3 linked regions of the Daphnia pulex genome follow. The protein of the gene in region 1 purifies or fractionates together with the protein of each later gene. This does not show direct contact. Links are inferred from orthologs where the notes say so. Each region holds a gene or a part of one and is shown in the gene's direction. Other genes may lie near its edges.

The links.
Region 2: the proteins of 26S proteasome non-ATPase regulatory subunit 14 (region 1) and large proline-rich protein BAG6-like purify together in Homo sapiens (affinity purification with mass spectrometry; 3 studies listed by BioGRID, with this or other methods). This does not show direct contact. The link is inferred for Daphnia pulex from reciprocal best matches to the Homo sapiens genes PSMD14 and BAG6.
Region 3: the proteins of 26S proteasome non-ATPase regulatory subunit 14 (region 1) and proteasome activator complex subunit 3-like purify together in Homo sapiens (affinity purification with mass spectrometry, with the first as the bait; 3 studies listed by BioGRID). This does not show direct contact. The link is inferred for Daphnia pulex from reciprocal best matches to the Homo sapiens genes PSMD14 and PSME3.

The regions. Positions count from the first base shown.
Region 1 is NC_060022.1:5,168,734-5,179,442, forward strand, and holds 26S proteasome non-ATPase regulatory subunit 14, read left to right. Parts: upstream 1-954; 5' UTR 955-1,125; coding exon 1,126-1,218; intron 1,219-1,297; coding exon 1,298-1,447; intron 1,448-1,506; coding exon 1,507-1,723; intron 1,724-1,783; coding exon 1,784-1,896; intron 1,897-1,960; coding exon 1,961-2,161; intron 2,162-2,225; coding exon 2,226-2,387; 3' UTR 2,388-2,448; downstream 2,449-10,709. Other genes in the region: ATPase inhibitor mai-2, mitochondrial-like, read right to left, coding at 252-392, 455-563, 639-697; uncharacterized protein LOC124196063, read left to right, coding at 4,645-5,261, 5,984-6,646, 7,367-7,658, 7,725-7,790; ARMADILLO BTB ARABIDOPSIS PROTEIN 1-like, read right to left, coding at 8,710-9,336, 9,421-9,798.
Region 2 is NC_060023.1:11,636,715-11,648,075, reverse strand, and holds the start of large proline-rich protein BAG6-like, read left to right. Parts: upstream 1-6,473; 5' UTR 6,474-6,739; coding exon 6,740-6,808; intron 6,809-6,877; coding exon 6,878-6,995; intron 6,996-7,064; coding exon 7,065-7,217; intron 7,218-7,279; coding exon 7,280-7,508; intron 7,509-7,567; coding exon 7,568-8,009; intron 8,010-8,071; coding exon 8,072-8,953; intron 8,954-9,021; coding exon 9,022-9,276; intron 9,277-9,351; coding exon 9,352-9,549; intron 9,550-9,613; coding exon 9,614-9,713; intron 9,714-9,771; coding exon 9,772-9,902; intron 9,903-9,966; coding exon 9,967-10,440; intron 10,441-10,518; coding exon 10,519-10,675; intron 10,676-10,748; coding exon 10,749-10,954; 3' UTR 10,955-10,957; exon of another isoform or gene 10,958-11,130; 3' UTR 11,131-11,361. Other genes in the region: WD repeat-containing protein 5, read left to right, coding at 3,014-3,109, 3,193-3,289, 3,363-3,526, 3,589-3,678, 3,741-3,880, 3,959-4,109, 4,180-4,260, 4,320-4,407 and 1 more; transcriptional adapter 1-like, read right to left, coding at 4,837-4,920, 4,987-5,152, 5,223-5,581, 5,649-5,936, 5,996-6,032, 6,092-6,159. UniProt on the Homo sapiens protein: ATP-independent molecular chaperone preventing the aggregation of misfolded and hydrophobic patches-containing proteins.
Region 3 is NC_060017.1:6,929,502-6,940,125, reverse strand, and holds proteasome activator complex subunit 3-like, read left to right. Parts: upstream 1-5,799; 5' UTR 5,800-5,907; coding exon 5,908-5,928; intron 5,929-6,169; coding exon 6,170-6,202; intron 6,203-6,343; coding exon 6,344-6,492; intron 6,493-6,554; coding exon 6,555-6,723; intron 6,724-6,798; coding exon 6,799-6,969; intron 6,970-7,027; coding exon 7,028-7,216; 3' UTR 7,217-7,330; downstream 7,331-10,624. Other genes in the region: protein-methionine sulfoxide oxidase mical3a-like, read right to left, coding at 7-234, 345-490, 562-658, 732-808, 872-1,151, 1,212-1,500, 1,557-1,725, 1,791-1,859 and 5 more; myeloid leukemia factor-like, read right to left, coding at 7,638-7,713, 7,789-8,020, 8,085-8,286, 8,369-8,452, 8,515-8,749, 9,075-9,118; leucine-rich repeat extensin-like protein 3, read right to left, coding at 9,402-10,115. UniProt on the Homo sapiens protein: Subunit of the 11S REG-gamma (also called PA28-gamma) proteasome regulator, a doughnut-shaped homoheptamer which associates with the proteasome. 11S REG-gamma activates the trypsin-like catalytic subunit of the proteasome but inhibits the chymotrypsin-like and postglutamyl-preferring (PGPH) subunits.

The DNA.
Region 1 (10,709 bases):
CAAAGGTTCTTTTATATGTTGAAATTCATTTGAAGTCTGTTTTGTGTATGGCATTATGTCCCCTAAGTAAATTAACCTGTTGAGTAATATTTTAGGGCATAGGCTGTATACTTCCTTCTACAGTATCAACATCTTTCAGGGAAATAAATAGCTCAACCATAAACTAGAATTGTATTTTAGGATATACATTAAGGCTACACATCCTTCCAGAATTTTGATATCCTTGCACCACACTCAGGCATATCAAACAATTAGGCTTTCTTTTTCTGCTCCAACTCTGTGATTCTCTTTTGATGAATGTCAATTGCATCCTGATGTTCCTTCATGCGTTGCTGATGAAATGTTATCTCCTCATCAAGGTGAGTTTTAAGTGTTTTCAGCTGTTCAGTTTGCTACCATCCATATAAAAAATCAATACAAGCTATACATAAATTGTAAAAAAAGATATTTCTACCATTTTACGGAAGTATCGTTCCTCATCAGCGGCTTCCTTCTTTCCGAAAGTTCCACCAGCTTCTCGAATGGCACCAGCTCCACCATCTTGGCTGTAATAAGCTAAACGACTAGAAAAGGCAAAACAAATGACAATTAATTCACGTCACAAAGGTAGAATGCTCATTAAAATATTAACTACTCACCTCATAATGGGTATATTACGAGAAAGCTTGAGCGCTGCAACAGATCGAGTCAAAGCCATTTTGTTTTGATGAGTAGACTCGGTGATTCACAAGTCAAACAACTGATTTACAAAGAGAATTCGTAACGACGTCAGACAAACGATCGTTTGGATTTCTACAAACGTCGCAATCGACCAAATAAAATTTTTATAATAATTAAAAGATACATCTGAAGAATAAAATTTCTTACAATAATGTATTCTCTTTAATGGAAGATCTATATTGATAATTAAAAACTGGGTTTGATAGAAACTGATAATGAAACATTTTTCATTCATTGTTGGGCAATGTTGCTAACCAGCATAAACCCGTCGAAAAACGTTGCGCGGAGCGTGAATTGACTATTCTGTGACGGAAGGATTCATTGTTTTTACCGGCCGTTCTACTACAAAGCAGTTTCCTTTTTCTTCATTCGAAAAAAAGTTTGAACTAATAATTTAAAGAGATAATGGATCGTCTATTACGGCTCGGTGGCCCGATGTCTGGCCTCGGACAATCTGCTCCGCCAACTGATGCACCGGTTGTCGACACAGCCGAACAGGTATGACAGATTCGTTTGCATTTACAATAAATTACTTACTATACCTATTATAATTGTTTTCACATTTTTGTTGTAACAGGTTTATATTTCTTCTTTGGCACTGTTGAAAATGCTTAAACATGGACGAGCTGGAGTTCCAATGGAAGTCATGGGACTTATGCTTGGAGAATTTGTTGACGATTACACAGTCAGAGTGATTGATGTATTTGCTATGCCTCAGTCAGGAACAGTATGAAACCATTATCATTTATCAATTTTGCTCACAGTAACTTAACAAACTTTATGTAGGGTGTCAGTGTTGAAGCTGTGGATCCAGTTTTTCAAGCTAAAATGTTGGACATGCTCAGGCAAACTGGCCGCCCTGAAATGGTTGTTGGCTGGTACCATTCCCATCCTGGATTTGGTTGTTGGTTATCTGGTGTAGATATCAACACACAGCAGAGCTTTGAGGCCTTGTCTGAACGTGCTGTCGCTGTTGTTGTTGACCCTATTCAAAGTGTCAAAGGTATTACAGATTTATTCATTTTTTTTTTTGCAGTTGTAATAAATAGTTTTTTATTTACAGGCAAAGTTGTCATTGATGCATTCAGGTTGATAAATCCAAACATGATGGTATTGGGACAAGAACCTCGCCAGACAACATCAAATCTTGGACATTTACAGAAACCATCAATTCAGGTGTGTTTGTTAGATTTTACAAAACATTAAATTCTGCAAGACTTTTTAATGGTTTTTTCTCCAGGCCTTGATTCATGGACTTAATCGCCACTACTATTCAATCAGCATCAACTATCGAAAGAATGAACTCGAACAAAAAATGTTGTGGAACTTGCACAAGAAATCATGGACCGAGGGACTATCGCTAGCCGAATACGAGCAACACTGCAAAAGCAACGAGCAGAGTGTTCGCAGCATGCTCGAATTAGCCAAAACTTATAACAAGGTAAATTCTGAAACATACCGGCCTTTGTTCGTAATCAGATGTTAAAATGATGTGTGTTGGACAGGCTTTGGAGGAAGAAGAAAAGATGACACCCGAACAACTCGCAGTAAAGAACGTTGGCCGTCAAGATCCTAAGCGTCATCTAGAGGAGGAAGTGGATGTACTGATGACTTCTAATATTGTCCAGTGTCTGGGAGCTATGCTTTCTACTGTGGCTTTCCGATGATTTACTTCAGCTGACGCACCTCTCATATCTATCCGATGAATACAATAATTCTCAAAAATCATTATTTTACATGCGAGTAGACCAACCAACCACGTACAGGATAGAGAAAATGGGTCGATGTCATAAGTGGTAACCCCCCGCATTCAAACCTTTCAAAAAAAGAATCGTCCAAACACGTCCTACTTGGTGTTTTCATTCGGATTCGCTTGCAATACAGCTTCAAAAGCTGCCATCGAAAAAGCCCCCCGTTTTCTGATCCCTTTTTAATGCACTCAACTTGGAACAGCGCAAGAAGGGTAAAAGGGACTAGTAGATCTTTGTGATACAGATTATATCGATCACCCGGAATGAAAGGAGCAAAATAAAACCTAGACCTGAAATAACTCTACGCGGATTTAGGAAGGAAAAGCAGAATGTGTGGTGAATGAAATGGCGTGGTTGCTCAAGATTAACAACGCGCCACCCACTGAGCATTTTAAAATAAACTCGAGTTGTTTGTGCTACGTGTTTAATGGCCTGCTTCTCGTGCTGTTCTGGGCTATTAGTGCATAGGGCATGAGCCGTGAAAAAAGATTGTCTCAGACAGATCGCGGGTTTTTTATGTTGTCGTTAACAAACGCGATCCTGCCAACATCCACATCTGTCCTTCTTGCCTCTGTATATATCCGTAAATGTTCCGACCTTTGTTATTTAGCCGAGCGAGTTAATATAACTACGGTTTCCGGTTGCAATGAGAAGAAACAATAGCTAGCAGGGCTGTAATAATAGATAGAGATATGTTTGCAGCAGAGCCCCCGCACAGACTTGCTGTCGGGTTGCAATGCAGTCCGACCTATTGAATAATTGAAAAGCAATTCGTTTGGCTGCGTGCGCAGGCTGTAACTACGCCGGGATTACAAGGATAAAAAGAATCTACTATAAATAAATGTCTGTAATAGAAAATAATAAGGAACCGCGATGGCGTCTTACCTGGATCGATGACGCCAAAAAAGTAAAAAAAACCTGCAAAAGGGACGACACAGTATACGCAACCGGTGGCGGCCTATAACGCGGACTGGCCAGCCAGGGCGCCGTCGCTGCTGCTGCGGCTAGATCTTGATGTATATGTGTTCTGCCCCCCTATTCTTTACCCCTCTTTTCTTGTTAAAGGCACTTGCTGGTCTAGTACGTGCGTTCAGTTCGGGATTGGACGTCATTCCGACGAGAGCGCTTGGCGTCGCACGCCCCGCGACGCCGCTATCCACACAGACCAAAACCGTTAATCAATCAGCAACTTTTTGATATCCGCCTAGCTGTGTGTCTGAACTATTGTGCCGGACCTCCAATCAACATCATTCCTCAACTTTTGGATAGTAGGTAAAAACATAAAGAACAGTAGGCATAGAAACGGACGAGAGATAAACAAAAGAAAACCACTATCCATCGATTTTCGATCCGACTTAATGGATAACACGCGGGCGGCGTGTACAGGATTCATCCATTTGAATCAGCCGCTATCAAGATTGGCCCACCTGTCAAAAAAAGAACTAATAAGGAAAAGTCATTTTCTTTTTTTGTTGGGGGAACAATTGTTTGGCAACATTTGTGTGTGTATGTGTGTGTGTATCTCCAGCGAGATCTAAACTTGGCTTGGCTGCGCAAGTTCTACCCTTCAGACGTGGATAGCGGGAAAATCCGTGAGAAGATGTTCCAACATCTGTCGGGGAGGAACGACTCCATCTATCACGAGGCTTTGAAGCACGAACCGAATAAGACGAAGAATAAGAAAGAGTATTTTCCCACGTTATATTTATAGCAGTGGGCGGCTGCTACCCATTGAATGGCGTGACCCTTTTTTGAGTTTTGACATTAGTCTCTTTCGTGTTTTTTGTTTTCGGCAATTGAAAAGTGCGCGCCCACGTAAAAATTGAAAAGCCGCTTATTTCAAATTGTAGAAACTGGCCGGGCGAAATTGCAAATACTAAAATTCACTTTGGCTGGGAGCAGCCAACCAAATAGCTCGGCTGTTCTTGGTGGTTTCGTTGTAAAATCAATGAAGATGCATGGTTATATTATGCGAGTAGATCATGCCATCTGAAACTCGCCGTAATGGCCGTAATCAAAACGCATCGACCCTGATGATGAGTTTTTGTTGTGTTTTCCTTGCAGTATCATAGTTCGCCCGTTTTCCGGCCAGCAGCAGGGCAGCGGACAATGGATTGCCGCCGCCAACTTGGAAACGTCGAGTAAAAGTTGATGTGAACGAAGAATCTGATTCATGGCAGACACTCGTTTGCCGGATGTGGTTCCGGCTAAAGATCTGGCGTCAGGCAAGGAAGCAGTCGAACTCATGTCCGGGAGCAGCGCCGCTCAGCTCAACAGTGATAGTAGTCAAGTGGGAATGCCCGATTGGCACATGACGGTTCTCAGTGCTAATGAGGATCATCCGTCAGATACGCCGATAGTGCACATATGGTCCAGTAGCGATTCAAACGACTCGAACGATTCGTCTCTGCTGGCCAAGCCGGAAGAAGTTTGCTCCCGTCTGGAGCATCAGATTGAGCACCGGAGCGATAGCCAACTCGGCTCGGATTCCGGCATTGACTCTCAGCTGGCGAGTCCCACCGTGATAGACGGGGGTTACAACAAGTTGCAAGAACAATCTGCCTTCGTATTGGACCTGTCGGCGAATCACTTATCCGTGCCGAGTCGGATGAAACTAGGCAGCCTGCGCAGCAGTCTAGAGAAGCACAACCAACAGCAGCAGCAACCAAAGTTGAACGAAGATGAACCCCCCATCGTTGAAAATAGCGTTCACGGAACTGGAGAGCAGAGAAACGATCCGTCACCAGCTAAAACTATTCCAACTTCGCCCAGATTTTTGCCACAGAAAAGGTCAGCATTATTATTATTATTCTTAAAATTCCGCCACTTTTTTTTTACTTTTGACGTGCTACACACTTTTGAAACTAACTTGTCACAAATGCCAGTGCGCTAGCCCTACATCTGTGTCAAGTAAAAATGCATGTACTGTAGTAGATGCTAGACAAAATCAATATTTCCTTATGAATGTTTGATGTGGGCGGTGAGACGGCTAGTCCCCGACGGCAGCGCTCATGGCCGGGGTATACAAGTTAGACATCAAACTAGAGAAATAACAGGCAATTAGGAAAGCAGCACGGATGAATTGTTGATTAGAATATGGGGGGAAACGTTTGACTGTGCTCCACAACGGATTTGTGCGAAACTTGTGTCTATTGTTCAAATGCACAGTGCTGCTGCCCTGAGGAGTCCATCATTATAAACTGAAAGTTGCATCTTGTTCAATTTCTTGTCTTCTCTCAGGAGAGAGAAAAGCCCATAGCTTTGTTGTGCTGGGCTGTTTATTTGTTTCCTCTTGAGCTAGAACGCGGAGGCATTTTCTAAAAATAAAAAAGGCTCTTTCTCTCTCCTCCGCGTTCCAACAAACGGAAAATGTAAAAAAGTAGGGAAAAGAAAAAAAGGCAGCCATCAATTTTCCATTTGACCTAAATATGTTAGTATACCCCTACGGATGTGGCTTGCCGCTAACAGAATAAGGATCGTTTTGTGATTTTTCCCCTCCCCATCCTATATAGGCATCACCGGAACTTTTTACCAGTGGATTACAGTCTAGACGGCTGGCAGTCACCACGATCGGACAATTTCCTGAAGATTCGTTCGTTGCCGAGTGAATGTGAGCAGCAGACGGAGATGGAAGAGACAAACAGTTTGGCGGTCAGCTGGTCCGATACTAGCAGCACTCCGATTACGACAAATTCCGGCCGTAAACAACAAACGACAACTTCGTCACCCAAGATCTGCGTTCAACGGGATGCTCACGTCGACCGGAGTTTTCACGAAGGCCAGTCGTCCATCGTCAGTGAACGCAGTTGCAGTTACGACTCTCAAGAATCGTCGCACTTTCTGGCCGATCAGGAAAGCGATTCCCGATGTTATTCTCCTTCACGCAAGCCGAGCTTCGGCTCCATTTGCAGTGACTCGTGCACAGACAACAACATGGACTCGCGGACATCGATCAAGCCGACACGTTCATCTCATCACAATTCCTTGTCCAGAAGTTCATCTTCACGATCGACTTTCCTCTCAGTTCCCACCAGAGTACCTAATCACCTGTGGCTGTCATCCACTTCCGATCAGCATCAAACCGATCACAACAAGGAGCAGCACGGTCAATCCTCGGCGAATTCGCAACTAGGATCCACGTCGTCGCTGATGGCATCGCACTTCAGCCTATCAAAGTATGATGTCATTGAACCCTTTGAACTTTGCGATTTTAGACTTCAAAGGCTATATAGGCCGGCAGAGTTGCCATGGATCGCGTGGGATTGTTTCTACAAAGAACTTTCCAGGAAGGAGAATAAGCAAGAAGGTTATTTCTTGAGTGCTAGGACGTAAATCCGCCGTTGTTTTTTATCGAATTGCTCCAGAAATCGTTTTCGTGTCAATTATAAGAAAACGCACCGGTGACAGGCGTGAACACCACGCCCTGAAACGTCTGTCGACAGACGGCGGTCTACGAGAAATCCGTGCAGACAGGCGGGCAAATCTACGTGCTATCCACGGTCACGCAATCCTTGCTACAAAAGAATCGTGACCTATATATATTCTACTACCAGAGTTGGGTTTAATTGGGTTGCAAGAGATTATAGACTTTTCTTGGCTTTCATCTTTGCACTGCATTCGGTTATTTACGTACAGTATAATCAATTAGACAAGTAGCTAGGCAGTGTTACCTTATTACGACTCATTCGCTACACGATCCTTATAGACTTTTGGGGATGTCGAGACAAATTTCCTGGAAAGTGAATGAACCATGTTAGTAATCATGATTAAAGTTTAGTTAACTGTGTACATAACAAAAGACGGTATTGAGCTAACTATATGAGTATGCGTAACAATGTAAAATGTACAAGGAATAGTAATTGATCATTATCTCGGTGTGCCTGTATGTTAACCAGCCCGTACCTGCGGCTGTGCCTGAACGAAGGCGGAATCAACGACGCCCTGCTGCTAAGCCTTGCTGGAGACGAAACGAACCACCACGCCGTTCTCGACATGTTTGACGATCCTTATTACGATTCGGCAACCGCTGCCGCCGTCCAGTTATCACTCACCCAACGGCTGGCCTTCCCTCAGCTGGTGGAGAATGACCCAGAATCGGACAAACAAAACAATCGCCATCAGCAACGCAACCAACTCCCTAGAGAAGAGGGAAGCCTCAATTTCTTCGCCAAAATCATCACCTTCCTGGTACGCCAAACTTTTTCCCGTACTATATTATACGTCGACTAACTAAAAAGTTATATACAACTTCAGGTTCTCGTGTTCGTCATCGTCCTAGTGGTAGGTGTCCTCGTCAAAATATCGCACACACCTCGATAGCTGACGGCCAACCGATCGATTCTTCTTTCAATTTTTTGTTTTGCGAATAACTGTAAGATACGATTGATTTGTAATTCAATTTTGTATTCTCAATTATTTTACAATGTCCTTGCATTACTCCCTCCCCTTTTGTCTGGCACTCTTTCAACGTTGTTTGGGGGCCTACTAGTGAGGACGGGAATAAGAGAAGCTGCAGCCGTTTCCAGTCAACATGACGTCAATTCACTTCTTCTTCGGCTTTCACGGGTTTGATTCGATTTTGCCGAGCGACGACGAGCGTCAGTGCGTTTCTCATTCAACTGACTGTCATAAGAACGAATTATGCACCGCTCGCTGGAACTTTCTCGCAATATACTGTTGGTTTTCTGTTGCTGATGCTCACGTCCTACTTATGATTATTCTGGTGCTCCAAATGATGAATAATTCCGTCTTGGATTGAACGCGACGACGACGACGGCCAAGGTCGTGTGTTTGTGCCAGTCGGACCAACGAGAAATAACAGTGGCAAGGCACGCCATACGACGACTCTGCACACAAACATCTGACTTATTTCCCTTCGCGTGTGTGTCTTGAAACAAATCGATACGGCGCCTACATGCGTGAGCTCGGCTAGACGCACGATAAGAAACAGCTGCCCCCACCCCAATCCCCGATATTCACGCTATGGCGGCGTGAATGTTGGTGGCTATACGGAAACGCCAATCAGAATAAAAAGCTACCACACTATCCTACATTTAAACAAAGAACCAAACAATCGATAGATATATTTACGTCGTGACACTATTCGTCGTGTTTATTTCACTGGTATAAACTCCGAAAATGACCAAAAAGGAAATGAGCAATAGACATAAATTTAGGTTAGAAATTCAAAAACGGAATAAAACGACTTTGTAACAAAAGTGGACATTCGTCTGTGGGTTTACATGTGAGAGTAGACGAGAGACATCGCCATGGTGATTCGGCTACAGGCCGACACACTTAGACTCGGGAAGAGCTTGATCAATTTTTCACAATGGAAATGAACGGCCGCTTCTAGGAGCTCGTCGACCGAGTGTAACTTGGCCCAGGAGATTAACTGATAAACGTTGTTCATTCGGATGTGTGAAATCAGATAACTAACGCATTGTTGTTTGAGATCTCCAACATCGAATTCGTCGGCAGCTTCAAACAATGACTGGGCTTTGATTTGGTTGATGGAGGACGAAACTTTGCCAGAGTAGATAAAGTGGAGAACGTCTTTGAAAATCTCGAAGCGGATGTGGTGGATCCTGATCTTGCCCTGACCGCCCTGACGATTCGCTTGTTGTATCATAGCAGCGAGCACTAGGCTTCTGGCCGTCAGAATGATGGCGTGTCCGCCCACGCATTGGCCGTTATCAAACTGAAACTCCACATCACAGTTGGTTTGACGAACGTACAAGTTTGTAAACTGCTTCAATGCATTCGTTTCACTTTTACTCGGGGCCTTTGTTGTCATCTCGTTAAACTTGATCCAAATACGACAAGTAATCTCCTGGTCGTAAATCGCCGTGGAACTGTACATCAACTTAAAAACCGATACACGTCATCAGCCATATAAAGTCTAAAACACGACACAAACAAAGACAGACAAAAAACAAGAAATATTTACCGATTGCCATGTGCACCACTTTTCGTTCATCTTGTTTGTCGCCATTTGAATGCTTCCTTCGTCAATGCTGACCCCTACAGCTTCAGGTAAAGCACTGCAAGGTTGACTCGTTTCTTCGTCGATTTCATTGCCTCCAGGAGTAATCAGTTTCAAAATGAAATGAAAACGTAAAGCTTTCTGTGCATTGTTACTAGAATCGTCTTCTTCAAACTGTTCTAAACGAAGCTGAACTGCATTCGCAGCATCACAGTGAACACGTTCAAGTTTGAACCAAGAGGAACGGACTCCCCGGTCATTTGTGGCCTCTGAATCCGAGACCACAGTCTTCCACACAATTTGCGTTTCACCGTCGTTCAGTTTCTTTACATTTATCGACATTCTTTTCTCTGATATTTGCACAAAAATGACTTTTACTTTTGACTACTTTTACTTTTGTCAATTTGATTATCTTGATCGTACTTAATGTTCAAACTCATTAACCATTAACGACACTTCCACCCTTGAGCTGAGTTTAAAGTGGACTGAAATTTGGAGCAGACGACATTGCCAATTTTGACCTTGAAAATGGCCGATTTTTTCGAAATGTCTGAAATGCGTTATTCGTTATCAGTAATATCCCGTAATAATTGAAAACTCAAACAAAATTGTTGATCAAACGAAAAAATACTACAGCAGTTTATTGAGAAATTGTTTTTTATCTTTTAGTCATCCATTAAAGTAAACTGCCATACATAAATACGTCCAACCCACGTTATGATAATCATTTACACTGAAAAACATTCCAAATGCACGCTAGATCAAATAAACGACATGCTGTTGATGATGACGAGATGACTTTTGGAGCTAGTCGTATCCTTGGCTGTGTACTAAAGAGAGATAATAAGCATGAAAACGTACAAAAAGTGGATTACCTTGGGGAACAAAGGTATTAACCTGGAAAGATCGTAGTAACATTCGGCATTGTTATGGGGTTCATCCGTTTTATCGTTTGGTGTTTGATGGGAAACTTTGCGAGATCGGAGAACAAGGGAACATGAAAAAGCCTCTGGAGACGTTTGCCCGTTCTATTACTTGGGGGATGAGGAACCAAATATAAAGTGGATGGCGTCGGCGCCGTTGTGGAATGGAAATGTCTAGAAAATTGAATTCGTGGCTTGGTGCACTGTTGCTCTGCTTAAAAAGTATTGAACCAAAAAGTTTAACGTATTTTACTAACACTTAGCCCTCCCAAAAGTTCCGACACCAAATATCCATTACTGTATGGAATATCCTCTCTGTTTTGAATATAT
Region 2 (11,361 bases), on another chromosome or scaffold:
AAAGTGACAAAGGATTTCCTATTTTTATTTAAAAAGCATGCCTAAAGTGGAGTAAGTAACTATAATTTATCACTCCGCTGTGTCTAGGGTTTTACCGCTGCCATGAAAATCGTAGTGAACTTTGCGCCGGTTTTTGTATTTTTTATTCAGTTAACGGTCGTTAACTTGATCGCTGCACAGAATACATTAAATCCGTTATTGGATATGGACGATCCACTTGAAGTGAAAAAAGACGTCATCTTTCAGGATCGATTAGTTGAGCGATTAAGTTCCCTGGTTCAGTCTACAGAACAAAATATCTTAACGGTAAACAACATTTTCTTTGTAACGAAAGGAACATTTATTTATTTAAATTTTATTCGACAGATGCTCTCAGAGATGCAAAATCCACCATTTGTCCAACTGCTAAAAGGTAAGCCTTATAAAGAACTGTGGAGTACTTTGAATTAACATATTTGTTTTTAGGAATCTGTCCCAAAATGCTAATGCAAGAACCTGCCAATGAGGGATTGAAGTTCCGTTGTCATGCGTCTGGAATAAACGAATGCCTTTGTTTCAGCCATAAAAAGGTAAGTGGTTTCTGTGTAGCCTAATACGGCGCATTAGAAGTTGACATGTGATAGTGACCAAAGTTTTGCTTTTTAAATGACAAAGGCGACTTGGTACAAAGCCGAAGCATTTTGCCGTCAATTTCGGATGACTCTGGCAGATGTACCGACGGACAAAGTAGAATGGATTAAACACAAAGTCAACAATCCATCGGCCGTCGATGGAAAAGGCGAATGGTACTGGACTAGCGCGACGGATCGTTTCGTCCGCGGTCAGATGATTTGGATGAATACTGGCCAGCTATATCAAAATCCTAATAGCAGCAGCGACGCAAGTGAATTCGAGTCTTGCCTGAAATTCTCCAGTAAAGGAGATTTTTTATCAGAATCCTGTTTCGAGGAGAACCATTTTCTTTGTCAAAAGTTTCTTGATTTTTTCCCGCTTAATAGCCGCAATTTATCAAAGACTTGACTTGAACACTGATCACCTGTGTTTTATAAAACAGCAATTATTACACGACCATGCGTTTGTAATTTGAACGAGTTCTAATACAATTTGCATCGGATCTTGTTTCGTTCGGGAAAAACAAAACAAAGGCTAATTTTTAAAATCTCGACAGGAAATTACATTGTGGTTAACCTCACTTCCTGTAATCAAGAATAAGTGTGGAATGGTTCCATTTGTTTGTTTTTTCAAGTCACTTTAGAAAATCCCGTCGCTCAAGAATGATTACAACCAACGACTGTTTCTACTTTTTGAGTTTCTCGTTCATCGTTTTCTTGATGGCCAGTTTGTGCGTGATAGTACCAATTACACCTGTTAGTGCTGAATCCACGAGCTTTTTACAAGAAATTGAAAGTCTCGAGGATGAATATTTTGCACTGATTGAAACGGTAAATCATTTAATCTGTAATTAGTCGTTTTTTAAATTAATTTTCTTTTTGTGTTAATATTAGATTTCAAAGGAGGATCACATTAACGATATCCTGATTCATGGTATGAATGGTTAACTTCTTTTTAGTTATTCACACTCACCTTTCTTTAATTGATCTTTTAATTCGCGTAACAAGGAACTTGCCCAAAACATTTCACGGCCAAAAAATTTCGTTGTTTGAAAGTAAACGGCGAATGCTACTGCATCGTCTCTGAAGATGTATTATAAAACACATATAGAGCAGTCTCATTTAAATGAAATTCAATCACTTGTTGGGTTACATCACTAATTATTTCACAGAGAAACTGGTGGAGTGCTCTCCATTATTGCCGGCAGTACGGCATGGAATTGCTGTCGCTTGAGACGAAAGAAGAAGAAAACAATTTAGCCAAACAACTCAAAGCAGAGAAAAAAAATGGTGATCACGGAAATGTTCTTTACAAAGTATAATTGAATGAAATCTAATTTTCAAAATTTAGTTCAAAAACAATTATACTTGACATCCGGTAATCGTCTTTACGGCAATCGATCAACTTGGATGTGGGCTGGTACAGGCGATATTCTCACGAGAGAAATGAATTGGCAAGAGGGAGAACCATCACGTGTACATGGAAGTACACAAGAAGAATGTCTAATTTGGGTTTTAACGTTTAATGAAACCCTCCTTATTCATGAATGGAATGACTTGAGTTGTACCGATCATCGTTACTCGTTTATCTGTGAATCTAAATCTCTACGACATAGTGCTGATATTTTGAAAACAAATAATTAGATCATTAGATTAAAAGCATTTTACCGTTTACTATTAAATCACATGACTACTCTTGTGTTATAAACGACAAATACGTCTAGATTAGTAGTGAACTACTTATGGTTGAAATGAACATGTTCACCCCATTTCCACTAAGCTTGCGCATGAGATAAAACCTGAACGAGGAAACTCGATTTTAAATTTCAAACTCTTGGCGCGAATCCAGTCTAAACTTGGTTAGTTAATCATAGATGTCGCTGATCAAGTCGACGCCATCTGGTGGACGTTTGGCTCAACACGAGTAGTAAACCCGTGCTGCCGAAAGCGTTGTCACGAATGTTAAGTGTTGCGTTTTGTTGGATTCTCACGTTTTGACGGCGACTTTAATTGGATTCACTTATTACACTATTTGTGTTGAGTGTTTCAGTGTTGCTTGTGACAGTTGGTGAAGAAGAAGAGAACGACCATGTTCTTTATTACCGCAGTTCAGTGCCTGTAATGCAAAATATTATTAAGGCACACAGCTGGGCAAATCTCGTGCGTACCTTACACTAAATAAAAGAAAGGTGTTGAGGCCGTCTACGAATCATAAGAAAAATTTGCAAAAAAAACAAAAAATATTAATACAGTTTGGATAGTTGCCAAACACTGATTAACAATCCTGTGCCAGTGTAGCAGCTGACTGTTGAGTCCACTCATCACTGTCCAGGAAAACATTGTAAATTCGCTATTGTGCTTGAGATTCAAGTATACTGTTGGCAACTTCTTATTTAATCAAAATGGCTGATGATAAAATGAAAGGTGATCAGGATTTTAAGAACCACAGTAATAATTCAACTACTTCTCCTCTTCAAGCAAAGCCAGCATCGGGGTTGGTGAGTAACCCTTCCAACCCGGAATTTTCAATTCTTACAGCATTTTAGGATAAAAAGTAATCTTAATTCAATATTGTATTTAGAAGCCAAACTATGCCCTCAAGTTTACCCTAGCTGGCCACACAAAAGCTGTGTCAGCTGTGAAATTCAGCCCAAATGGAGAATGGCTTGCAAGTTCATGTAAATATTTTGATGGTGTATGTTCAGGAGAATTATATTTCTAATAATGTTATAATTTTTTTATCATGAATAGCTGCTGATAAACTGGTGAAGATTTGGGGTGCCTATGATGGCAAATTTGAGAAATCAATCACAGGTCATAAACTTGGTATCTCAGATGTAGCTTGGTCTTCTGATAGCCGCCTGCTTGTGTCTGCCAGTGATGATAAAACCCTCAAGATCTGGGAACTGAGCTCAGTAAGTCTTTAACCATTTATTTGTGATGTTAGCTCATCTCTAATTCATGTATGTTCTTATAGGGGAAATGTTTGAAGACATTAAAAGGACACAGCAATTATGTTTTCTGTTGCAATTTCAATCCCCAATCCAACTTGATTGTCTCAGGCTCAGTAAGTTTTCAACCACTCGCCTTCTTTAAAATAGGCTATTGACCTTTTTGAATTGTTTGCAGTTTGACGAGAGTGTGCGCATCTGGGACGTCAAAACCGGAAAATGTTTGAAAACCCTTCCTGCCCATTCAGATCCCGTATCAGCGGTTCATTTTAACCGGGACGGATCTCTTATCGTTTCGTCAAGCTACGATGGCCTTTGGTATAATCGTGTTCATTTTACTAAATAAATTCGACCTCTTAATTTTATCGATTGGTGGTGTTGATCACTTGTTTACAGCCGCATCTGGGACACGGCTTCCGGCCAGTGCCTAAAAACGCTGATCGATGATGACAATCCTCCCGTCTCGTTTGTCAAATTTTCACCCAACGGAAAATACATCCTGGCTGCAACTCTCGACAACACACTGAAGTTGTGGGACTATTCCAAGGTGTCATCATGAATTCAACTCTAAAGATTTTTGCAGATTTTACCATTCTTTTTTCTTTGGCTCGTTTCAGGGCAAATGCTTGAAAACCTACACCGGCCACAAAAACGAGAAATATTGCATCTTTGCCAATTTTTCGGTTACTGGAGGAAAAGTACTGCTTTAACAATCCACGTTTCATTCTTTTACTTGAACATGTTTTTCTTTCTGCAGTGGATCGTTTCCGGCTCTGAAGACAACATGGTTTATATTTGGAACTTGCAAACGAAGGAAATTGTTCAGAAACTTCAAGGACACACCGGTAAGGCTTCCTACCGGGGGACCTGCTCCTTCTTTCACATTTAATTTGTCTAGACGTCACACGCGAACTTATATCCCTTCATGTTTCATTCTAGATGTCGTGCTGTGTACTGCATGCCATCCGACCGATAATATCATCGCATCTGCTGCATTGGAGAACGATAAGACTATCAAGCTCTGGCGTTCCGACACGTAGACCGCGCATTTAGCTTTGTCGCAATGAACCAACAACAAAAAATAATGGGAAAAAAGACGATGAAAAGCAGTTTTGAGGTGTGTACTTTATAGGAGAATTTTGAGGAAAAAAAAATGCAATTTCTTGGTATAAAAAAGTTTCCTGGCATTCTTGACTTCTCATGGCCTCCTCGTCGACAATACAAACATCTTTTTTTTTAATCGTTATAATTTCTTTAAGCAAGTAGATTCGAGTTTAATTGGGGTGATAGAGGCGCTGTGAAATGCGTTCCATATTGACGGCGTGCACTGTGTGCCAGGGAATGACGCCCTTTTTAACCTATTGTTTATTCAATAAAGAAACATGAGGATTAGTTTGAAGTTTTGAAATTAAATATCGACTTACTTGTAAAGTTTGAAAAACGTCAAGAACGGAAATCGGTTGAAGTGCGGTAACTTGTTCGGTAGTGCACGCTAGGTAGAATGCGGAATCCCGCTCTGCTTTCTGAGATGTTTGGGGTATGGCAGGAACGTGAGGTGGTTCCGCAGCTTGCGAAATTTCGGTCAGATAACTGATTTAAAATGAGAACACTTAGAAACATTGTTGTTGAAAAAGAATAGGACTGTACAATAAATATTTACCTGTTACTGGTACTGTCTTGGATGGACCATGAATTGTGTAGCCACGGATTAATTGTAGGTTGGCCAACCGAATAGATGACTTTGTTCTCTCGAAGGCGGTACCCTTTCCGGTTTGTTATGATAGCAATTATCAGTTCTTTAAGAAATTGCTTGGTAGCTGCCAGTATCAGTTTGATGGCTTTGTCTTCACAACCATGATCCAAACCAGCATCCCAAGCTGCTACTAGCATTCGACCGTGAACGAGTCCAGCGTCAGGTAAAATTAGATCCTGGCTGCAGTAACGAAGCTGTGGTTTCTCTACAGTGCAAGGAGCAGAAAATGGTAACAGAGAAACTGGATTCACTGGTTGGAATCGATTCTAGATAAGAAAAGAATTATGTTAATCAAGGTCTCCAATGAAAATTCCAATAATTAAGACATATTACATCAAAGTTGACAGTGAGAGGCTTGTTCTTTGGGTAAACTTGTCTTGTCACAGTGATCGGTTTGATTTCAACAGAATTACGTTTCTGTAGAGGAATGGTATGTGGTCTGATTTTGTTCACTTCAGTGACAACAATTGGCTTTTGCTTCACACCATGATAGACATAGGTTGAAGGCTGGCACAAGCTTTGACATTTTGTAACAATGGCCAAAAGAAACTCATTGTGAAGATGAACTTGGTCTACTTTCAGGTACAATCTGGCTTGGCGATCAAACTCTTCTTTGCTTGTCTAAATAGAGAGAATGTCAGTTATGACTGAATGGATAGTATAAAAGAAACATTTCTTACCCTCATACAAAACCACGATTTCAGGTGGGCAAAATAACTAAATAAAACATGATATTAGAGATATACCACCACAAATATCAAATCTGATTTATTTACTTCTTAGAAGAATCTCCCAAAACATCCACCAACCGTTTCCTGGCTTCGTTAACATCAAGTGCATTCATTGTTGTTGTGTTCTGACTTTTGAACTGCTTCGCTCACTTTTTTAGATTTAACTCGCCATTGGATTTCGTCTACACCTGTCTTGCCTCGACTATCGAAAACCACCAAAAGATGGTGCTCATTCCAGGAATTGATTTTCATAAAATAATTTTTTCCTTGAATTTGTCATTGATAAATATAACGTGTAAAATTAGATAAAATCTTGTTCGTAAAATGTACAAATTATCATGAAATTGAAGTGAATTCCTCTTTTACGGTTTAAAACCAAGAGAAATAGGTGGCGTTGTAACACAACTTGGTTCGTAAGCCTATGAATTGTCGGCTGTGTCGTGTCGTGTCGATTCGATGTGGAGACAGTTGCGCCTCTATTTGTTATCGTGTATTATTACAGGCCCGATTTCCAGTTTTCCACGTTAGAGATTTACATTTCGACACCCATTACACAACTGACGTCGGTTCAGAGCCGTCCGGTTAGATCGGTAAAATAAAAAATACTGAAACCGAATAATTATTATTAGTGTGTCTGTATCGTCACCAAACTACAGCGAGGTTGGAACTCGAGGTGGTGAAAGCTAAACAAAAATGGCAAATATTGAAGTTACCGTCAAAACCCTCGATTCGCGTAATCATAAATTCACAGTTTCAGAGGAGGTAAGACCATTAAAAGAAACGACTCGTGAGTTTTAGATAGGGGAAACTAACTGGATTTCTGTTTTGCAGCTCACAGTCAAGGAACTTAAAGAACACATTGCTGGGGATGTAGGAACACCAGCAGAGACTCAGCGTTTGATTTACTGTGGCAGAGTTCTTCAAGATGACAAAAAGCTCAGTGAATATGGTAAATTGAAAATACTCTTTCCTAGCTCAAAACAAATGATTGGCATGTAAATGTTTTTGTGTTTTACAGACCTGAGTGGAAAAGTCATTCACTTGGTCCAGAGAGCACCTCCAACAGTTGGTAATCCTCCTTCAGGACCACCAAGAACTCAAGGATCTAGACCAGGAAACATTCACTACCACCTAGACAGAGGGTTTCAAAATGGTGCCAATCATTCATTTGGTAAATTTCTCATCATTATTAAAAGTAGAAATCTCAATAACAATGTTTACGATCAAATGAAGGTTCAGTACCAGCTCCAGCCGGAAGTAGTTCTCTGTTGCGTTTGAATACAGCCAGACACATGCTGGAGGATGCCTCACAGAGTTTGGGAAGGATCAGTTCAGTTCCCAGCACTGGTTCACTCTTTACAATGGATAATACTGCTGAGGGACCCTACTCATCCATACAAATGGTTCAAGCACAGGCTGCCACTGCTATAGCTGCTGCATTTTCAACTGTTCAATCCTTGGGGTAATGACAAACCTCCAAACTAAAAAACTAAAAATGTTAGTTACGTTTCTTTTTATCAGGGCAAACAATATTGCCGTGTTGCAAGGACCTAATGGATCACCAGCAGTTCAAGGATCGTTTGGTTTTCGGGTGCAAGGGCCTCAACCAAATAATCCACCAGAGAGTGGCAGTGGCGCGAGCGAACGCGTAAGTCCTACAGCTCCGACTTCAACAACACCCCCTTCAACAACTCCTCCTTCAACCACCCCATCTGCAACTCCTTCGTCGGCTCCTTCGTCAGCTCCGTCGTCAGCTGCAGCTCCTCCTGGTGACCAACAACCTCGACAACAGCAAATTCGAAATCCTCGAGTGTCTGTCTTTGCCGATGTCATCGAAGATATGGAACGGATCCAGCAGGATCTTCGCCCTCATTTGACAACCGTCCGTCAGCTCCTCAGAGATGATCCCGTATTGGACAGCACATCACCTGAATACCGGCAAGCACAACACACCTACAACCAGGTTCAGTAAAATCATATTATATTTTCCTTTCCATGTTTTTCAATTGATTTTTGATCCAAAAGGTAGCCGAAGGATTGCACTTTTTGGCCCACGCTTTTCACGCCATGAGCGATTTAATGGTTGACTTTGGAACTCCCCCTCCTCGTGAAGTCCGTGCTAGACCCTACGTCTACCAACAAGTTCTTTCATCGACCATACCCATTCACGCTTCAATCAGCGTCGAGACTACACATACCCACCGAGCTCCTCAGACACAGGCTAACCCAGCAGCTCCTGAGGCCGCTACAGCTCCTCAACCGCAACCAGCGCAAGCTCCTCCGCGATTGCCCACAAGAATATCTCCTCATGAGTTCATCCGACACGTTACCCGCCCACCCACTGCAGCTACTGCTGCCAATCCATCAGTTCCTCCAACTACAAATCCGACATTTCATGGTTGGCGGGCTGCTGGAACGACCGGAACGGGTGTAGCTAATGCATCGGCGCAGAATCCCCCAGCTCCAAGAGCCTCAGTCCAAATGCTGCACCCTGAAATGCTGGTCAGGGGAGGACCGCACCCGTTTGGACGTTTGCCTTTAGCCATGGCGAGTCAAGGAGGCTGGACCCCTGTCAATTTAGGTGGTCAAATGCATCCAATGTCGCTCTTTATGGAAGTTCGCTCGAACAACAATCAACAGGAAGATCAACAAGCGTCTCGTGGGCAATCACCAACATCTTTGGGCGAATTTGACGACTTTTTACCGTGTCATTCTCGACATGTTACCCGCTCGTCTTCATCCAGACCCGACACTGAGCGAGCCAGACCACGCCCAGTGGTTGTCACTTCCACGTCGGCGGCACAAGCTTTTCCCGGTCTCAATCAAACCCGTCCACCAGGCCCTGGAAATCAACCGACAGCCGTTCCGGCCTCCGTCGACGAATTTATGAACGAAATGTTTCGTCAGGTAATTGCGGCATTGAAAATTGCGAGAGGAAAACATTGATAATGATTGGTCATTAAATGGAAATTCAGGTGACGGCCAATAGCGGTGTACTATCAGGCGGGGTAGTAGCAGGTGGAACGAGTGGTGGAGATGGATCCAGCAGCCCTAATCCAGTGTTAACCAACGCCTTGTTTAGTAGTTTGCTCCAGGGAGTCATGCAAGAAGTTGCGGGTGTGGTGAGTGGCCATCAGTCGCCCAACACGGTGGCCCATTTCTTACGCAACATTCCTGATTTCACTTACACGGCCGGCGAGTCGTTCCTCTTTGACCTCTTTATGACTATGGTGAAATTTACCTTGACGATGATGAAACGATCCATTCAAAAACTAACAGCTGACCTTTATTTTTTGACTAAAAAGGCGGATCACATGACATTCCGTGATTTGATGGCCCTATTTTACGGAATGCCGGAGGCTTTGAACCAGATGAGAGATCATTTGAGGAATTTCGCTCGTCAACGAGTCTTACCTTCCGGTGGTGACTTTTCAGACCCTTCCGTCCGACAGGGCATCATGACACTGGTCAATCAAGCCATGCCCTTACTCCAGAGTGCTGCCGTAGGACACGATTATTATTATTACATTTTTCATTTCAAGTATTGACTAAATTGTCTGGTTTTAGGCCGAGGCCAGCATTCGTCCCGATGTGGATTTCGTCGCTACCATGGCCCAATTCATCCAGCAGTGTCTTCACGAAGTCATCCAGTTAATTGGAATGCCAGGTATTATTGAACTTGTACTTGACGTTGATAGCTGATTGACTTTTCTGTTTTGTTTAAGGTGAAAATCCGAATTTCGGCCAACTGATGATGGATAAAATCCGCCGGACTTTAATACTCGCTGCAGCTTTAGCCCTCAATTGTTTCACCGATGGTTCCACTAGTCTTGAACGCGTTTTCCTATCTCAGTTGGTAGGATATTAAATGAATTATTATAATGAATTGAGGCGCTAATTGTTTTGTTATTAAAATGTAGCGTGGAGTATCGGATGGAGTTCATCCAGCAGTCCAAGAGTGGACGACAAATTCGTCGATCGAACGTCTTCGTTCACTTTTGGCTTCCGTCGATTTGGATCAACTGACGCCAACTATTGAGCCCATGGTGATGAACACGGAACGCGGAAGGACCTGGACTGCCCTTTTCAATGCAGAAGTGGAAGAGATGACCGACACAAATTCACCGGCCGCAGCGACCGTCGTTGCTCCCGAGTCTGTTCCCCCAGTGGCTACTGGATCGACGGCACCAGTTGAAGAAGAACCGATGGATGTGGTAGAAGAGAAGACGGAAGAAGCAGCATCCGCACCAGTTTCTGCACAGCCCGCAAGACTTAGTCGACTAGAGAAACTCCGCCAAGATGTTCGTCAAAAGGAATCCAGCCAAGTGAAACCTCCAGAGCCGGTCATTGACGTCGTCATGGGCTCTCAGTCGTGGCACAACGAAGTCCCACGGGTCAGAATTTTTAGAAATCGTTTTTCATTCCACCCAAATTTTTAATTAATTTTGTTTTTAAATACAATTTTCTGACAGGAATGGGTACCGGTGATTGCCCGTGATATCCAACGTCAAAATCGAGCTCCGCCAAATGTGCCGCTCAGTGACGCCTACCTGGCCGGAATTCCCAATAAGCGACGCAAGTTGGCCGAAGGCAATCGACCCAACACAAATCCTCAGTTGCTCCTCCAGGGTAATTAATTCATTCATCATATTTTATACAACGTTTGTAAAACCCTTTTTTTTTTTAATTTCTGAAATGTTAGAAACGATGGAACGCGCCCTGCGTTCTGCCAACGTCTCGTCGGCCGCCGTTGGTGAAGTAACGAATGTGGCCACTGCCAATGTCGAAGTGGGCAGCGCCCTTTTGCCGGAAATCCGCCGTTTGGGCAACGCCAGGCTGGACACGGACGCCGATTTCGATGCCGAACGTTTCCCTAACGCAGAGCGATACTTTCACGGAAACACTTAAAGAGTAAATAATAATAATAATAATAATAAAACAAAAACAACAAAGAATCGCCTCCACCCTGCCCTATTCTCTACCCCCATATAATTAATTAATCGGCCATTTTTCATGTTTTTTTTTCCCTTCTTCTTCTTCTATTGAGTCGCCATGTGTTTTTCATTTGTTCAAATTCGATGTAGGTGGAGTGGGCGATTTCGATCCTAATTGACTTCGATCGAATCATCATCATCTGATATAAAAAAAAGTAATAACTTTTCTTCATTTTTTTCCCTCTCATTGTTTATCCGTTTGTTTTCCGCCCATCAGCTTTTTGATTTAGTGGTTCCCTCTTCCTAAATTTTGTTTTTCTTGTAAAAGATAAAAATCAACCAAATGTTGGAAAGTTGTGCGAGTGTCATCAATATTTTGAT
Region 3 (10,624 bases), on another chromosome or scaffold:
AACTCATCAAACGAATCTATTGACTTTGATCCTGGGCTTCTCTGGTTTTGGCGGCTCATTTTGAAGGTTTTCAAACATGGCGCGCAAGTTTCTGGTCGTGTTTAATGACGCTTGAATCTCTTCCGACTCGGGGATCATCATGGTTTTTTCGTAAGCTAATTTCTCTTCATCAGTGCTGAATTCCCAGCGCTCAAATTTCTCTCGCATATTTTTGGCCACAGCCCGATCTCTGGCCTAAAGATAGACAAGGAAAAAATAAAAAGGGAGGCGACCATGAACGTGCGCTCTTGTGCAATTCCACCCTCCATTTTCTGGAACGTGCTCAAAAAATCTATTTGACTCACAATTTGTAAAAGTTCCTGTTGTTGAGGAGTCAAACCAACAGGTACATTTTCTTCCTCTTCGTTATCGGAGCCCTGCCCATCATCTGAATATTCTCCGTCACTTCCTTCTTCCTCTTCTTCGTCGTAATCATCTTCATCGCGATTATCTACAAAAGAATGCGTTCCGTCAAAGATTAAAATTGACAAAATTTGTCATTCAAGGAATGCCAAATGTTACCTCTGAAGGCGTCGGGCTCCTTTTCAAGTCGACGAAACAAGTCTAGCATAGCTGAGGTGCTTTTAAAAGTATCCTTGTTTTCCAGCCCATATTGCTCCTGAAATCCACAAAACGAGTTCCAGTCAATTCCAAACTAAAGATACATAATTATACAACTATTCGGATCCTACTCGTTTCTGTTTATTCTTATCTTGAAATCCATTTTCCTCCATTTGCTTAAAGATGTTGCGGGCCTCTTTGGTAACAGCTAAAAACAAAATTACAAAGTGTACAGTCAAATGTTGCATTCGCTGTATAAAATGTGAGTTACCTCCTAGAATCACTTCTTCATGGCGTTCGTGTTTCTCGCCAAAGTTTTCGCCACCGCTTTCAAACATTCCCTTCAACTGTTTGAGCTTTTCGGGATCGACCAGATGCTCGGACGTTTTGTTTGCTGAAGTTTTCTCCTCATTGCCACCCATTTCAAAAATATCTTTAATGTGCTTAATCTTTTCCGGATCAACATTGGCATCGTTGACATGAAATTCTTTGCCATCTTTTCCTTCTTGAGTGGCCTGCTCGTATTGCTCCTTCAAACGAAGTTGCCGGCCCTTGAATGACAGAGACACAAATAATTTCATGACTCCAATCGATAATTTTAAAGCGAATACTTGGCATTGTCGAGCTCGTAGGATCTTGAGCTCTTCCTTGCGCTGTTTAGCCAATTCTTCTCGCCTGTTGAAATGAGACCCGTTCTTGTCATCCTCCCATTTCGATTTGATGTCGGATATAGAACCAAAGTTCACGGAATTATCCGGTCCCAAATAAGAAGACAAGCGGTTGCCGGCAACATCGTCGTACATGTACCCTTCTTCACCTTCAGAAGACGAATCTTGGATGTCTAAATTACCACAGGATTTGGACAGTTCGCCCTTGAGGGTGGCATTATCACGATCAAATCTATAGGGAAGATGATGTGTAAATGATATTTGCTAAAACAGCATAAATTAGCCTACCGAGCTAGTCGTGACAGAATACTCTCAGAACGTTTCACTGATTTGTGATCTTCTCTAATTTCCACGTCAGCTTGCGAGTTTGATGAGGCTCGCTCAAAGATTGTAAATCTAGATTTGAGATCTAGGTTTGTTAACTCGTCCATGCCGTAACTATTAGACGTCTCACTTGCTATATAAGTAATAATTAATGTGTTTTACTGTTCCATAATGTAATTTAAATTAAGCTTATCATACCTCGCACAACGTCAGCCGGTAGCTCTATGGGCTGACTTTCTCTGATAATCAATTCGGGCTTTAGATAATCTGAAATTTTAAAAATGCAAAATCAATTTAAAACTCTTTAAAATTACGATATTAAATACGCGTTTACATGGCTCATCTGATTCCAGAACTGCTTTTGGTTGAAATAACTGTTTAAAGTGAGGCTTGCAGTAAATGAGTCCTTCATGACTATTGTATGTGTCTACCCTGTTTATTAAAGTTAAATAGTTGTAACACTTCTATGAACTGATTTGAACTCACATAATATGCCTACTCACGTTAGATTCTTTTGGCATTCAGTGCACTTGAAGCAATGTTTGTGCCAAATCAACTTTTCAGCTTTCACTCTTTCCATCTGAAAAACTTGCTTGTTGCAAAGCTTGCAAAGCGTAGTAGCGGCATCAGCATCAGATGCTACCTGTAAAAGTAACATAATATGTTTTTTTGTGTGTGTGAACTGGTCACTAATATAGTAGTCTTTCTATTTCTGTATTTACCTTATTGAACTTCTGCTGGACCTGTGCTGCATCAACTGAACGGACATGGATTTTTTTCCCTTCAAATTTCTAAAAAAAAGAAAAAAGTTGTTTAATATTGGCTTATACCTACAGCAGTAATATATCATGGTAAATAGAAAGTAACTGTACCGTTGTCTTAGAAGCAACATCTTGTTTTGTTTTCTTTGATTTTTTGGTAGTAGATTTCTTCTTCTTTTTTTCGACTACAGGAGTTTCTTCTGTTTGGTTTTCATCTACCTAAAATCATGCATAATTTAGTAATTTCCTTTTAATTAAGACATCAATCTTTCTTTACTTGTAAGTTGATGATGTTTTCCAGTACAACAGTCTCAGCTTCAGAATCCATGTTTCTCTTCTTATAAAGAAGTTGATTGGATGCTTGACCTGTATTAAATATGACATGATGAAATCCAATAATAAACTGAAAATGTAACACACAACACTCCAGTGGATGTTTAGAGTGGAAACAGACTAGAAACTCCACAGAAGCTCAGTCGTTTTCAAAACAAAATAGTGTAAACAATTAAGCGTGGTTGCCAAACGGAAAAATTCCTTATTTGGAATTTTTCGACTTACAATTTCAAATTAAATCAAATCCCTAATAAACTTCCCGTTGCAATTTGACACTCGCAAGAAACGAATAAAAAAAGACAATTTCTAAATTTAGCTAACCTCATTATATCTAGACTAATTAGTTGAAGTAACAAATAAACAAGATTAGAAATTAGAAACAATACAAGTTCCCTTTTAACCGTCGCTGTCGTCTTGAAAAATCGTTCATAAAGTTAAGAATTTCTTGTAACACTTCAATGAATATTAGGTAGGCTGTTTTCCGAAGAGAAAAAACTGACACTTCTACAAATATGGAAAAATGTTCGTAACAAGATTTTCTTACGTAACCAGCGTTTTACTTTATGACAACTGATCCCAGATGGCAGTTTTATGGCAGCTTCAAGTACTTCAAGTAGGCTAGTAAGAATGACTGTGAAACGAGTTGTGACACGTTCAACTTCTAGAACTGCAGAAAGCTTTAAAACCGGCGTTCGGCTGGCTCTCGTCTTGTCGACCGAATACTCACGCGCACCATGTAACAACCAATGCCAAAGTGTGTATATTGTCCCGACTGCAAGCTAAATTTATCCGAGTCCGTCGTGTGTTCTGACTAAGCTGTTACTGCGGGGTTAACTAAACAAATTCTTATATTTTCCTTCACATCGTCGCATCCCTTTTTATGTTTGTGGGGGTCAGAAAAGTCTACACAATCTTATCATTTCAGGATTGTGAAGAGTTGGAAAATCGTAAATCGAGATGCGCACAGTTTGACTCGGTGACGGGTGGAATTTTCAAAAAAAAGCAGCAATTTCATTCAAACGTTGATTTGAAGTAGAGAAGAAGTAAAAACTCACTTGAATAAATGCTGTTGAACAAAAGATTCGTCACACACAATCCTGTAAACTGGATTGATTTTAAGTTTCAGATGGAATTTACCACACCTCAAACGGACACGACGTCGAAAACAACACGACAGCACGATCCAAAGAGAGAAAACACGAATATAGTGGCGAGGGCGGAACGTCGTCGACGGGGTGAGAAAGCTCTTTCAACGTGAGCCCTTTGCGCGTCGAGACGCTGCTCTAATGATTGTTGCTGCTGCCGTCTTGTTCGGAACCAGGGTATTCTTTCTAAAATTAGAAGCAGCCCCCGTAGTTTTAACCGCTTCTACCGTATCCCGTCCATTGCATCCAACGAAAAAGTTTCTACAGAGACTTCTGTTCGCCGTCAAAATCAGAATAGTTGGGCTCTATATGGATGTTTTTAATGCTGGAAAACGCAGGAGCGCAAGCCCATCTCATTGGGCTATATTCTATTTTTAAACTTGGAGAAATATGCGTTTTTACCCTCAACTTGAGATTATTATTTTTTGAATGACCTTGCATGATACAATAGCTCGCCATCGATAATTGCTCACGATTTCTTTATGTTTTTCCATTGTTTACGTTGTACAATATTGGAACCAATAATAATGCAAAAGAGTATTGTTAAAGGCTCTTAATGTGCTTCGCCACTTAAGATAAGAAGCGAGGCCATTGTTGAAACCTATACTCGAACTTGAGGACGAGATAGTTGGACAAGAACTAAACAACTATATTTGGAAGTCTTTGAGGATTGTTATTAGAAAACTTTTCTTGGAGTGCGCAGTTCAATTTCCTTACACATTTTTTCTTAATTAAACCAGAAAACACATGCCAAAACTAAAAAATTCCAGCATTAACAGTATCCTACTAAAATTAAAAGTAATGTATAATTCTTGGGATAACTTGCAGTATAATTTTAGCCAAGAGTCAATAAAAAAATGGGGACATCCACAAATGACGTCTCTAGCATATACTCCACGCGCTAAAAATTCTTGACTTTGCAGAAGAAAAAAGCATTTGTTATTGTTGCAGTTTCTTAATCGTTTTTCCCTTTTTTTAAAATCAGCTGTTCACGAATATACTCCGGTAGAACAAAAATAAGACTCGTTTATGTTGATCTTGTAAACGGAATGGATACTGTACCCAACTGGGCTTCGACTAATTTGTTACGCAACTCGCCAACTTCAGTCTATTACGAGGATACATTGCGCTATAGCAGTAGATAAACTCGTTTTCGATTTGTTTACCCACTCGTGGTGACCTAGAAAACATTAAGTTTTTTTCTTGTTTAACTGCACACAATAAGGATTTTTTTTTCCATTGGACTCCAGTCTTTAGAAATCGAGAATTCAGAGAGCTGCCGCCTGTAGGGCTTCTAGACTGCTAGCGTTACGAATTACTATGTGGCGGTAACGAGATATGTCTGTAACGATTTAAACATGGTAATGAAATTTTGATGTTTTAATATTCCCGACGATTTCACATTTTGTTTCGCTTTTTTTGTCCATAGGTTTTTTTTGCGACCTACGGATGAAAGTTGCCCATTGCCCTCAATAGATGGCGCTTTGAATTAGTAGATTTGAACTGCGCGCTTAAAAGAATTTTACAATCTGTAGAGAAAGGAGATCGACCGCTGCTTGATATAGCAAAAGCCAACAGATTTCTTGCCATCCACCACGACTGGACGGAACGGCTGAAAATTATGTCCAAGTTTATTTCAAATAATTTACCGCTGTGTTACCGAGTGAACGAAAACGGTTACGGTTACTAATAATTTCATTGTTATTCTCATTAAGGTAATAGGAATTCCCAGAATCCCAATTCAGTACCATTCCGAAAAATTAAAGACATTTTTTTAGATTTCGATTTCGAAAGCATTTTTTGCAGGTCCGGTCCTAAACTTGATTAATCGGATTAATTGATGATTACAATTCTACGACGATGAATCCAATACAGAATTATAAAATATATGACAATAGCAACCAAGAAATTACAAATGAATAAATGATAAACAAAAACGAAGAAGAGAGAATGAAATAAAAAATATCTGGAAATATGAATACGAAAAAAAAGTCTCGATAGATGAGGCAACGTTGGCAACACATGGCCGCTGAGCACAAAAGTTAATCGTTAACCGGTTAAATTTATGTGAAGAAAATGGTTGACAACGCTTCAAAAGTAAGAAAAATAATTGTATAGCGTGGCCTCGCAATGCTTGTTTTCAATTTTTCATGATAGAAACTCGGCTTTTGATTTTCTTTACAAATATGTAGTTTTTAAATTCATTTTGTCTACTGATGGTACTTGCGACTGAAGTTGGAGGTTGTAAACGTCGACAATTGTTTTCTAAAAAAACGCTTGAAAAAATGATTTTGTTCAATAGTGATGATCATAGAAGTTTTCTACTTTCACTTTCCAGGTGCTGCAGTACAAGGAGACAGTAAAGAAACAGGTTGGCACCAACTTTGTGTTTAACAGATAGTTTGGGCATACTAATATTGGTCTTATCGTTCATAAATGGGTTTGCTTTGCATGAAATTTTTATGTTAAAAGTGTACACAAGGTTTGTGCTCCTTTAGTATTTGTTTATCGGCAGGCAGAGGACCTTATCAACAATGGATTCCCCAGAAAGATTGTGGAGCTGAATGATCTTCTTGCCACGCCACTTTTTAGCACAAAAAATCTCGAAGAAGTTCATGAAGATCTTAAAGTTCCAGTTCCCTCACCAATTATTTCCAATAAGTAATTGTTACTTACTCACATTCATTAGTTGAAAAATCCCATAACTTTTTTTTCCATTTCAGTCATGACAGCTGTGAAACTGAAACCAAAAAGAGGAAATTAGATGAAGTTACCAGTGGAACACCTGTTCTGGTGCTACCCACAGGAATTGTTCCTTGTAATTCTCACATAAGACAAATGATCAAAATTGTCAAGCCCTACATATGGCACTTGGTTGAAGATGCAAACCTGGTAAAGATTAATTATTTTCTACTGTTTTTAACATCATTGGAGAGTTGATATCTAATCTGTTGTTATTGTTTTTAGTTGAAAATGTGGATTTCTTTTTTGATTCCGAAAATTGAAGACGGAAACAACTTTGGAGTCTCAATTCAAGAAGATATGTTAGCTGAAATAAGAACAGTCGAATCTGAAGCCGCAGCCTTTTTTGATCAGATTTCCCGATATTTTATCACAAGAGGCAAAATCGTAACAAAGGTACGATGTTTAGTTTGTTTTCGTTGCTAAAAAAGTTAATTATACTTTTGATTTATAGGTGACAAAATACCCCCACGTTGAAGATTTCAGAGTAACTGTCGAAGAACTTGACGAAAAGGAATACGTTAGTTTAAAATTGGTGATGTGTGAGATCCGGAATCATTACTCAACGCTACACGACATCATTATGAAGAATTTAGAAAAAATTAAGAAACCACGTACTTCCAACGTGGACAACTTATATTAAATTCATTTTGATGAACGTTTGTTTGTGGGTTTTCACCGAGACTTTCCATCCGATTTCCTGTCTATTGGTGATGGAAACACATGATTGATAAATTAAAAAGTCAATGGAAATTCAGTTGTGTGTTCTTGTATTTCCAACACCGACCACGAATTTTGTGTTCGTCTATTTTTATGTGACTAAAAGGGTTACGTGGAGATTTCTTCATTTCACCGTACGATGGTAGTGAGATTCTAAAATAACAAAACTGGTGTTAAAGGTAAAATAGAGAAGCCAGACAAAAGGAAAGAATACGCTTAACACTTCATTGGGAGGAGGGGTGGGACATGTTGCAGGAAAATACGTGCATGTCAGACTTGGCGATTTTGGAGCTTTATTGAGTTGTGATTTGATTTTCCTCTGAAAACGATTTCCTATAGGAGATTTACATTGAGGTCTCGTGGCGGCTCTTTCCAGTACGATGGCCGTCTCTCTTCCTTGCATTCCGATCGGGGCCAACACTTTTAAATCAACACAACATAAAACGCGTAAGTAAATATGAATGGTTTTATTCAGGTATGTTTTAGATTGGATACCCGCGTGAATTGGTTGAGTGACGAGACCTGGGCGGATCAATTTCATGGCTAGGACCAGCAGTAATAGCTAAAGGTGCTCCCATGTAGTTGGAAGAATTAGATTGATGATGATTATTATGATGATTATGATGATGAGGACGTGACATTTCAATGCGAGATTGGCCGTACATGCCTTGGTGATGGTGAGAACGAGCTCTCCTTTGCCACTCCTCGTCAAATTGGTGAGCTTCCTCTATTAAACGGTATTTAGAAAATTAAGAAATGAAAGAGATTCTGTTCTAACATCACAAACTTACCTTCTTCAATGTTGATGAAATCTTCTCTTTGTTCGGAGTCCCCTGTGTAGCAATTTTGCTCTTTTTCGACAACATGGCCTCGCTCTCCTAAATGTCGCCCAACAGCCATTTTACGAACTCCACTGCGTGAATCGCTTACACTACGCTGAACTTCCCTTACACCTCCTGGAGCTGTGCGAGTGGTAGTTGAAGCTTGATAGACCTAATAACAGACGTCAAACAAGTTTAAACAATCAGTGCTTGTCTGAAGACAAATATGAATACAATTTTATTTTTTAAGTTACCTGTGGTTGCCCATCTGGGCCAGTTGTCATTGTCATCACAGAACTGCTGCTGTACATGGGGCTGGCTCCAAATCCAGGCTGCCCCTACACAATACAATTTTGTTGGTAAGTCAGTTTTGGTGAAATAAATGTTTGTGATAACTTACAAAGCTCTGAAACATTTGTCCTACTGATGGCATTCCAAATGGATCCATACTCATGCCCATGCCCATAGGGAATCCAGGCATTCCTCCAAAAGGAACCATTGCGCCAGCAGGGTGACGTTGTTGAGGAGGAGGTTGAATGCCCATCATTTGGTGATGCATAGACATCATACTTGCAAAAGGGTCCATCATTGAGTTCATCATTGAATCCATTTGTCGCATCAAGTGATTAGTACCTCTGTAAATTCAATAGATTAGTTGTTGTAATTTTAAATGTAAACAAAGCAAACAAACAGTGTACAAGAGAATAAATTCAGATGAAAGCTGTAAGATTTGGTGGGCTGCTCGAAGCACAGTTGGCAAGAAACTGAGTTTCTACAACCAGGAAATGATAGACCATGGGAAGGAAATCCGAAAGTATGGGAAATTTGGGGTAATAATGAAGAAAGTTGCATGTTTTGGGCGTAGGGAAATGTCAAATAACGGTAAGAATGAGCGGATAATTGAGCCTCAGGTTGTTCGTTTCTACTGTTTGGTTAGCCAAGGAATGGAAAGAAACTCACGCAAAGAACGGATCTTCACCATAGTCCCGGAGATATGAACCCATATTGGTAAGTCAATTTAGAAATAGATTCCTTGACAGTAGCACCAGAGGATAATACTAAAGCAGTCAATGTCAGTAACAGTAACGTAATGGATTTTTCTTTTTGCTCTGCACCACACCGTTGCCAATCAACAACATTGACGCTTCAAATTGCGAAATACAAATATAGAAAATACCAGGAAATTGAAATTTGAAATACGGTCAACGATCTGATAAATTGTATTCACAACTCATTGGTATAAAGTCGACCGAGATTTAATATTTTCATGCAGGTAGTAATTCGGGACTAATGCCTTTGATAAGCAGGTCTGTACATCGGCCGCATCGGGGGCGGGGGGTAATTGTAGACGGGACGACGATACATTTGAGGTGGAGGAGTGTAATAGGTGGGGTAAACGGGTTTTTGATAGACGGGTGGGGGTGGTGGCGGAGGTCGATACTGCATCATAGGAGGCGGAGGTCGATGCTGCATCATAGATGGAGGCGGATTCGGCTGCTGAACAGGATATGGTAATTTCTGTTGATGAGGAGGATGTCCTTTTGGAGCGTTGCTGCTGGCGAAACCCGTTGCGCCGTGCGGAGCTATCGATGCTGCGCCTGGTTGCGTTATATCGATCGGTTGCTGAATGTCTTGGATTACCTTGGACTGCTCCGGCTGTTCAGCTAATGGTAGCGAAGAGGATCCAATGGTACCTTCGGGCATGATACCTAATTGGGCGAGCTCGGCCGGCGAGAAGCCTTCAAGATCTTTTTGCGTCAATTTAGTTTCTTTGGGCGGCGGCGGATCACGTGGACAACATGGAATTTCGCCAGAATTGCGACAGGGCGGGATAAGTCCGAATTTTTGTATGTCTAGTTCGTCACGACCGAAAATGTGACGATCGTTTTGGCACGAATCCTCGGCTTGACAGGGACAAACCTCTTCGGGAGTTGAGCCATCTTGGCCGGCAACAGCAGCCAGGAAGAAGAATAGCAACTGATTAGTCAGCAAGCGTTTCATTTCCTGATTTAGAAAAACAAACAGTGACTATCAGATAGTTACGCCATTGTGTCGTCAACCAGACTAATAACAAAACAAAAAATTTTGTTAATAACTTACCGTTCAAAGGTGAATTTTTCGACTGATGAAGCTAATAAAGTTCGGCTTCTATTTATAGGGAACCAATAATTCCATTTAAATCCAAATTACCTTGAAAACGACTGGTGAAGGAATTCTAATAAAAACATGATTTTCTCGTGAGATCGTGGCTTAGGAGAATTATTTCCGCTCCAACCTTAAAACAAAATTCTTGGTCGCATATCATAACAACTGTTTTGTTGTTGGTTTCAATAGACGTGGGTTTTCCTATTACCAAAGGGATCACAAAGGACGCGCGTTGTCTGCAGATATTGATAACTATTAGCGTATCAATTTTTTGTTAAGATTAAATATCAAGGTATCCCCACAAAAAATATAAGAGATAGGAGTTGGACTTTTTAAAATTTTACTTCACGACATACGTTGTTCCG